Drosophila melanogaster: one gene and its partner. The protein of the gene in region 2 purifies or fractionates together with the protein of the main gene of each other region. This does not show direct contact. Each region holds a gene or a part of one and is shown on either strand. Other genes may lie near its edges.

Region 1 (3,754 bases), on a different chromosome or scaffold from region 2:
GTCTCAACTGCAAGCGAATGGACCAAACAGACTGCGAGTGTCCTTGCGAGTGTCCAATGGTGGGAGACAGCAGCTCACCATCGTCCCTCATGTACTTTGCCAACTACACGCGACAATTTCCGTACTGTCCACCGCCAAGTGAACATTTCATTGCACTTCCACCGACCACACAGCTGCTGAGTACTCTGCCGAATTGTCCTGGTTCTGCTGGCATATGCGAAACGTATTCCACTCAAAGAGAATGCCTCGGAGTGATGGGCTGCGAATGGTGCCAGCTGGATGTGGACGGCAATAGTTTTTCGACCTCCTTCTGCTCGTCCCAGGCGAGCTGCTTCAACGGAGTACTTGCCTCGCTGACACCCTACGGTGAGCTGGACGAGATGGAACTGCTGGCCGCCCACAATCCGCAGAGAGAGCAGCACGCTTACTCTGCATTTGGTCCGCTAGGAGGAGCCATTGTGGTGCTTGTCATGGTGATTGGCTTTGCCATCTACTGCTACAGACACAATCTGGATGCGCAGACGCAGGAGCACTTCTATGTGGATTCGGTACAGGAAGAGAATTACGGCTTGCCGCTGTCCAGGTTCAACTTTGACGATTGCAAAGCGCATGACGAGCCGCCTCTTGGTGGCGGCTATGACCACGCATCTGCACAGCGGCAGCTGATGCACGCGGCGGATATTTCGCCCTACCACGTTTCCAGCGGCAGTAGCTATCGCCGGCCACCCAACGGTGAGTCGGATCATGGCTACAGCACAATGACGCCGCACGAGGACAGTTCCGATCAGCAGTGCTTCACGCTGGCGGAACCTTTGCTGCTGCACGACAAGCGGCACAGCAAGTCGGACACCATGTCCATATCCACATCCATATCGAGTCCCACGAATCGACAGCAGTCCTCCTCGCAGCCAAACACGCATCCCTACTTGAGCAATCAGCCGACCTCAAAGACGGAACGCTACAAGCAGGTGCAGGCCACGCCCTCGCCATGTCGCGGAACGCCAGCAGGTGGTAGTGTCTACGGGCAGACGACGTTGCCCCTCGAGGGGGATAAGACCCGGCCACACTATATCCTGGCACCAGTGACGGTGCACCGGCACATGGAAACTGCCGAATCGTAGTCCACAATAGCGTTGTTAAGTTTTAGAGCGTAAGATGTCCGCTTGTTTGCCAATTTAGTTATGTAAGTTTCCAAAATGGGCAGTTCAACTGCCGACAGTCCAGAATGCTGGGCCCGCATTCCAAACCCGCAATGTGTTTTGTGAGCTCGCGGTGGCCTCCATTGTTGGCCCATCTGTATCTATTAGAGCCTCCGTGGACGAGACGAACACCAACTATTAAGTGATGACATTGTTTCTGCCATTTTTGATCGATGTATTGTATTTGTATTGTATTGTATTTTACTGTAATTTATTGCAAAAAGTATTACTATATTATGTGCAGCTATATACTTCCGATATTTTTAGCATTTATTTGATAAGCACCAACAACAGAAATGTACTTACTTGTCTGATTGTAAGATACCATGTCGTATATCGTTTTTTGTAATAGCCCCTAAGACTACAGAGTTACTAACTACTGATTTTAGTAATACACATCTATAATAGCATTGTACGTTTCAAATAAAATGTTTAAATTTTGCAAAAAAAACCCACAAGATCTTAACCTTGATCCAGAGCGATCGGATGAATCGATTGGGCTGCCAATTGCTCGTCCTCCGATCAGCTGGTCGTACGTTAATGAAATTATTTTTACACCTATACATTTTATAAGCAAACCAGACGCTGCTCAATGGGCTCTTTTTTTGCTGTGGTGGCCAAGAATTGCCAATTTATAAATAACAATCTCTATTCGGGGGTTGTCAGGTGGCTTTTAGAGCAAAATTAGCTATGGATCTTTGGTGTAAGTTTTTACCCGATACCCAACCATTTCATAACCGTCATTAACCGATGTCATAAGGCTGAGATAGCCAACATATTCAATATCTTCAAAAAGAAAGTGTCTTTATACTGATTAGCTGTGCATTTGCTGTGTAAGTTCTTACCCGATACGCAACCGTTTCGAAACCGTTATCAACCGGTTGGCTTTGCACTCGGCTGGCAACCCTGAACCGAAGCTGCTAGCTCTCACTATACCATTGCAGCCACTGCATTTGGTTTTCTGGTCTGGCGCACGACGAACGTTGCTTTGGGTCCCCACATTTCAGCCCAACAACGACTCTATACTTCAACTATATCTAATCCCTATCTGCACTTCACCTCCTTCGATACCCCGCACTTTGAAGTGAGTGTTTAAGTTTGCTCGGTGTTTTGAAAACCGTTCTGTTTTCGAACATTTTCGAAATATACGCAAAGTGATACAATACGTACTCTGGGGAGAACATTACGCAATGCATAAAAAGTGTTTGGCGAATGAGAAAAAACAATAGTTATGTAAAAAATAATGCAAGTATACATTCTCAATTTCAATATAACTTGATAAAAAAAAGAAAGTTTATAAAAAAAGTTTTTTGATGAAGTGATTTCGGATTGAATATATTATTGCCAATGCTTATCATTTACTATTGCTAATTAATTTTTAAATTATAATGATACTAGAAAAACAGTTTTTAAATAATTGTATAATCTTTCAGGATTAAAGAACATAACTTCTATGTGCTCAAACGTTTTTGACAAAAGAAAGTACGAAATATTAATTTATAGATGTAAAAACAATTAAAATAGATTAAATGTATTTAGTGTAGGCGGTACCACTTGCAATTTAGTTTGTTACATCATGACCTTAACCTTAAACCCATTCGAAACCCTTGATCTCTGTTTTCAAAGGCACTTCTCTAAGGCATCATGTTTAAGTCCCTGTTCGATGCCGCGCAGAACTCAACGTTCAAGTCGCCATTCACTAGCGTCAACTGCCAGTCAGCCACGCCCACTTCCGCCCCCACATCCACCGCGGTGGTGACCCCCACCCTCAAGGATGTTGCTCCACGCCAGCTGACTCGAAACCACAACATCGCTGCCGCTGCCGTTGCCGAGGGTGGTAAGTGGGACAAGTCCTCCTGGAATCACCAATGAGTTGGATATATAAGTATTGTTAATACCTCTGCAGACTCCTGCGAATTCGGCTCGAACCACTACTTCCTGCTGTGCGGCCTGGGCGGCATCATCTCGTGCGGCTCCACACACACCATGGTGGTGCCCCTGGATTTGGTCAAGTGCCGCCTGCAGGTGGACCCGGCCAAGTACAAGAGCGTGTTCACCGGCTTCCGCATCAGCTTGGCTGAGGAGGGCGTCCGCGGATTGGCCAAGGGATGGGCACCCACCTTCATCGGCTACTCGATGCAGGGTCTGTGCAAGTTCGGCCTGTACGAGGTCTTCAAGAAGGTGTACGGCGATGCTATCGGCGAGGAGAACGCATTCCTCTACAGAACCGGACTCTATTTGGCTGCATCGGCATCCGCTGAGTTCTTCGCCGATATCGCCCTGGCGCCCATGGAGGCGGCCAAGGTCAAGATCCAGACCACGCCCGGATTCGCCAAGACATTGCGCGAGGCTCTGCCCAAGATGACCGCCCAGGAGGGCGTGACCGCCTTCTACAAGGGCCTGGTGCCATTGTGGATGCGCCAGATCCCATACACCATGATGAAGTTCGCCTGCTTCGAGCGGACGCTGGAGCTGCTGTACAAGTATGTGGTGCCCAAGCCACGTGCCGATTGCACCAAGGGTGAGCAGTTGGTGGTGACCTTCGCCGCCGGTTA
Region 2 (3,754 bases):
GGTATAATGGATGAAGATGATAGAGAGCAATTAGAAGAAAATATGAAGAATTTGTTAGATAACCAGAACAACCTTGATAAACTAATTCAAAAACAAACATCTGTGGTTGATTCAACTTCTAATCTATTAAAGAGAACAACAGAAGATGTTAACTCCAATTTTAGAAGTATGCAAATAAGAATTGAGAACATGACAGAAGTTCTTAAAGAAAATTATTATGTTTATAAGGAATCAATAAAATTCTTTATGATTACGAAACAGCTACACTCATTGATTGAAGAAGGCGAAAAAATTCAAGCAGGCATTATAAGCCTGTTGATTGATATTAATCACGGTAGGCTAAATACAAATATTCTCAGGCCAAATCAGCTTAAAAAAGAAATTGCCAAAATTCAGCAGAGTCTTTCAGAGAACCTAGTAATTCCAGGAAAACGGTCAGGTACGGAACTTAAGGAGGTGTATACACTGTTAACAGCCAGGGGTTTATTCATCGACGATAAATTGATCATTAGTGCAAAAGTGCCTCTGTTTAGCAGGCATCCATCCAAATTGTTCAGGCTTATTCCGGTGCCAATTCGAAATGAAGATCGGATAATAATGGTGCATACAACGTCCGAATATTTAATTTATAATTTTGAGATAGATTCCTATCACATAATGACGGAAGCCACATTAAATCAATGTCAGAAATGGCAACTAAATAAGAGAATATGCAAAGGAAGTTGGCCCTGGAATTCAGCGAATGATAATGCATGTGAGATTCAGCCTCTAAAGCCAGATAAAGCGGCGAACTGCATCTATAAAACAGTAGTCGACTCTAAAAGTTACTGGGTAGAGTTAGAAAAGAAAAGTAGTTGGTTGTTTAAGGTTCCTGCGAATTCAAAAGTCCGTCTGCAATGTACTGGCTCTCAAATTGAATTGTTTGATTTGCCTCAGCAAGGAGTTTTAAGCATTGCGCCATATTGTACGGCAAGAACCGACGATAAAATTCTAGTTGCCCACCATAACATTCAGTCCGAAAGTGAAGAATTATTATCAACACCTTATATAGGAGAAGTTAGTGGAGTGCCGAAGATTATTTGGGATCCGCTGAAACTATCAATATTAAATCATACTGAGGAATTTGAACGATTGAATAATGAAATTAAATTTATGAAAGAGAACCATCAAAAATTGAAAGATTTACATTTCCATCATATTTCCGGACATGCTGGATTAATTATTGCTTTAATACTAATGATAGTATTAATAATATATTTCATACGGAAATGTGCTGTGCAACAAAGAATGCAAGCAATAACCTTTGCAGGTCCGTTGCCAGTACTATAAATATCAATAGTAAATAAACAATAAAATAATATAACAAATAAAAATATACAGTCCACTAATAGAAAATGTACTTCTACATAGAAAAAGCAAAATGTTTAAAATAAGTTAATTAAGTACAAATTGTTGAATTAAAAATAATATAAACCATAATTGTAATCCAATAAAATTAAAAGCCAGAAAAACTAGGCCCATTGAAATCTTAGTTGCAAAATAAATGAACATATATCAAATAAATACAGTCCACTACTGTTATAAATGCAACTAATATACTAATGTACATCTCAGCTTTGCTGGCCCTTTGGCAGAATGTTCACACATGAACACGAATATATTTAAAGACTTACAATTTTGGGCTCCGTTCATATCTTATGTAAATGAATCGAGAGCGATAAATTATATTTAGGATTTTGTTATCTAAGGCGACATGGGTGCATTGCTCAAAAACATGTAATTTAAGTGCACACTACATGAGTCAGTCACTTGAGATCGTTCCCCGCCTCCTAAAATAGTCCCTTAGTGGGAGACCACAGATAAGGTCCTCGCCGCTCAAGATAGGCAGATGTGCCCGAGCGTGGGACCTCGATAAGGCGGGGACTATTTACGTAGGCCTCTGCGTAGGCCATTTACTTTAAGATGCGATTCTCATGTCACCTATTTAAACCGAAGATATTTCCAAATAAAATCAGTTTTCTTACAAAAACTCAACGAGTAAAGTCTTCTTATTTGGGATTTTACAATGTCTTTGACTGTATATCGGACCAAATTACCGGCTACTGTCTGGATCAATACAGCAGATATTAGTCTCTGTCTAGTGTGCGTAGCAATTAAATGGTTTAGTGCAAGTTGAATTCCAGTTTTTGTGTCAGGCCGCGACTATTGCGACTATTCCTGAGAAAAACAATGTAGGTGGCTTCAAACATTGTTGGAAATTACTAAACATATGTTTCTCGCTTTTCTTTTGAAAATTTCGTTTCAATGTTTCTTAAATAACTTGATATGATTTCACGGATATTCAAAATGGAAAAGTGTCAAGCAGAAGTCAACCCAATCGTGGTTACAAAAAAATAATAATAATAAAATAATAATAATAATAATAATATCTTGAACCTATATTATTAAATTAAAGGTATCAAATGGTTTAAGTAGATTACGGAAAAATTTTGAATTCTTTACATATTACTTACAGACTTTTTACATCGCGCCTTTCATGATCTTCCACAGTGGCGCCATCTGCAGTCGCATAGGAATAAGCTCTGTATGCTAGTGTTACCGCTCACCAAAACTGTAAAAATAATCGATATCTGGCACAAAACGATAGCGTTTCGATATGTTTGAGAGTCCAGGCCGTGCGCTAGCATTAACAGTCCCACCACTAACGCAAAAGTTTTCGGCTGTAAAAACGTAAATATTTAAACTTTAAGCAAGTTTAGTGTAAAAATAATCAAATCATGTGCGTTAATTTGCAAAAAGTCTGCGGGGCTATGGTCCATTTAGACTTAGTACTGGATTCAGCGGAAAACTCGCATTTCGCGTGCTTTTCACTTGTCCCACATTCGAGGTCCGCTTTTGCATCATGTGGAATTCCAGGAATTACCATCATCGTTTCAGCGATCAATGAGACACTGCCGCGTGTTCCCCTTTCTAAAAAGTGCATTTAGCAGGCATTTGATTGGTATTTTCCAACGTTTTTCCCCATTTAATTTCAAGGACTGTTCTTATATAATTGGAAAAGTGCAGGTGGGCGTCTCGTCGGCGGAAAAGCGCTTGCGCCGGCCGCCCCAAATGAAAAGTGAAATTTCGCAATGCAAAACAAGCGACGTCGGCGACGTCACATGTGGTTTTTTGTAAAATTAACTTGCCGCATTGATGACGCAATTGACCGAGTGCCGCGTGTGCTTTTCTCCCCGCCGCCCAATGAATCATCAATCAAAAGCAATGGCAATAGCAACAGCAAACCGCAAAGAAAGCGCGCGGCCGCATTGTCTGGGGCAGCACAACTAGTTATTTTTTTCTGCTGACGGATGTGGATCATCTGCCACAACCTATCATAAGTCGGCTGCAAAGGCCCCAGATCGGGAATAGTAACCACAAAAGTATTATAGTACTACGGAACCTCTACCTCCCCCTCGCACCCCGCTCCGCAATTACTTCATGCCCTTGGACCGCTCTTCTTCTTCTTCGCCTAGAGGGGGCTCGTCCAGGGTTTTTTTTTAATGGAATGCAAAACCCCACTGAGTGCGTCTCTCTTGCCTTCTTATACCCTTTTATAGGGTATCATGGCAATTTAATGTTTTACGCCAACTACGATAATAGCTTTTATTCAGTCTTAGACTAATTGGTACACTGATATCTACATAGTTATCATTCGATAGTCAAATTACCATTTCCGCTATTTTTTAGAGCAACATTAAAATTTACATTTTGC

Evidence for each region. The genes of interacting proteins can lie anywhere in the genome.
Region 1: the proteins of Ogdh (region 2) and Mpcp1 purify together in Drosophila melanogaster (affinity purification with mass spectrometry, with the first as the bait; one large-scale study listed by BioGRID). This does not show direct contact.

What each region holds. Positions count from the first base shown.
Region 1 is NT_033778.4:20,279,517-20,283,270, reverse strand, and holds the start of Mpcp1 (mitochondrial phosphate carrier protein 1), read left to right. Parts: upstream 1-2,143; 5' UTR 2,144-2,283; intron 2,284-2,333; exon of another isoform or gene 2,334-2,427; intron 2,428-2,661; exon of another isoform or gene 2,662-2,681; intron 2,682-2,825; 5' UTR 2,826-2,843; coding exon 2,844-3,036; intron 3,037-3,105; coding exon 3,106-3,754. Other genes in the region: CG16868 (uncharacterized protein), read left to right, coding at 1-1,121.
Region 2 is NT_037436.4:16,952,813-16,956,566, forward strand, and holds the start of Ogdh (oxoglutarate dehydrogenase), read left to right. Parts: upstream 1-2,009; 5' UTR 2,010-2,067; coding exon of another isoform or gene 2,068-2,130; 5' UTR 2,131-2,231; intron 2,232-2,513; exon of another isoform or gene 2,514-2,515; 5' UTR 2,516-2,730; exon of another isoform or gene 2,731-2,779; intron 2,780-2,951; exon of another isoform or gene 2,952-3,001; intron 3,002-3,754.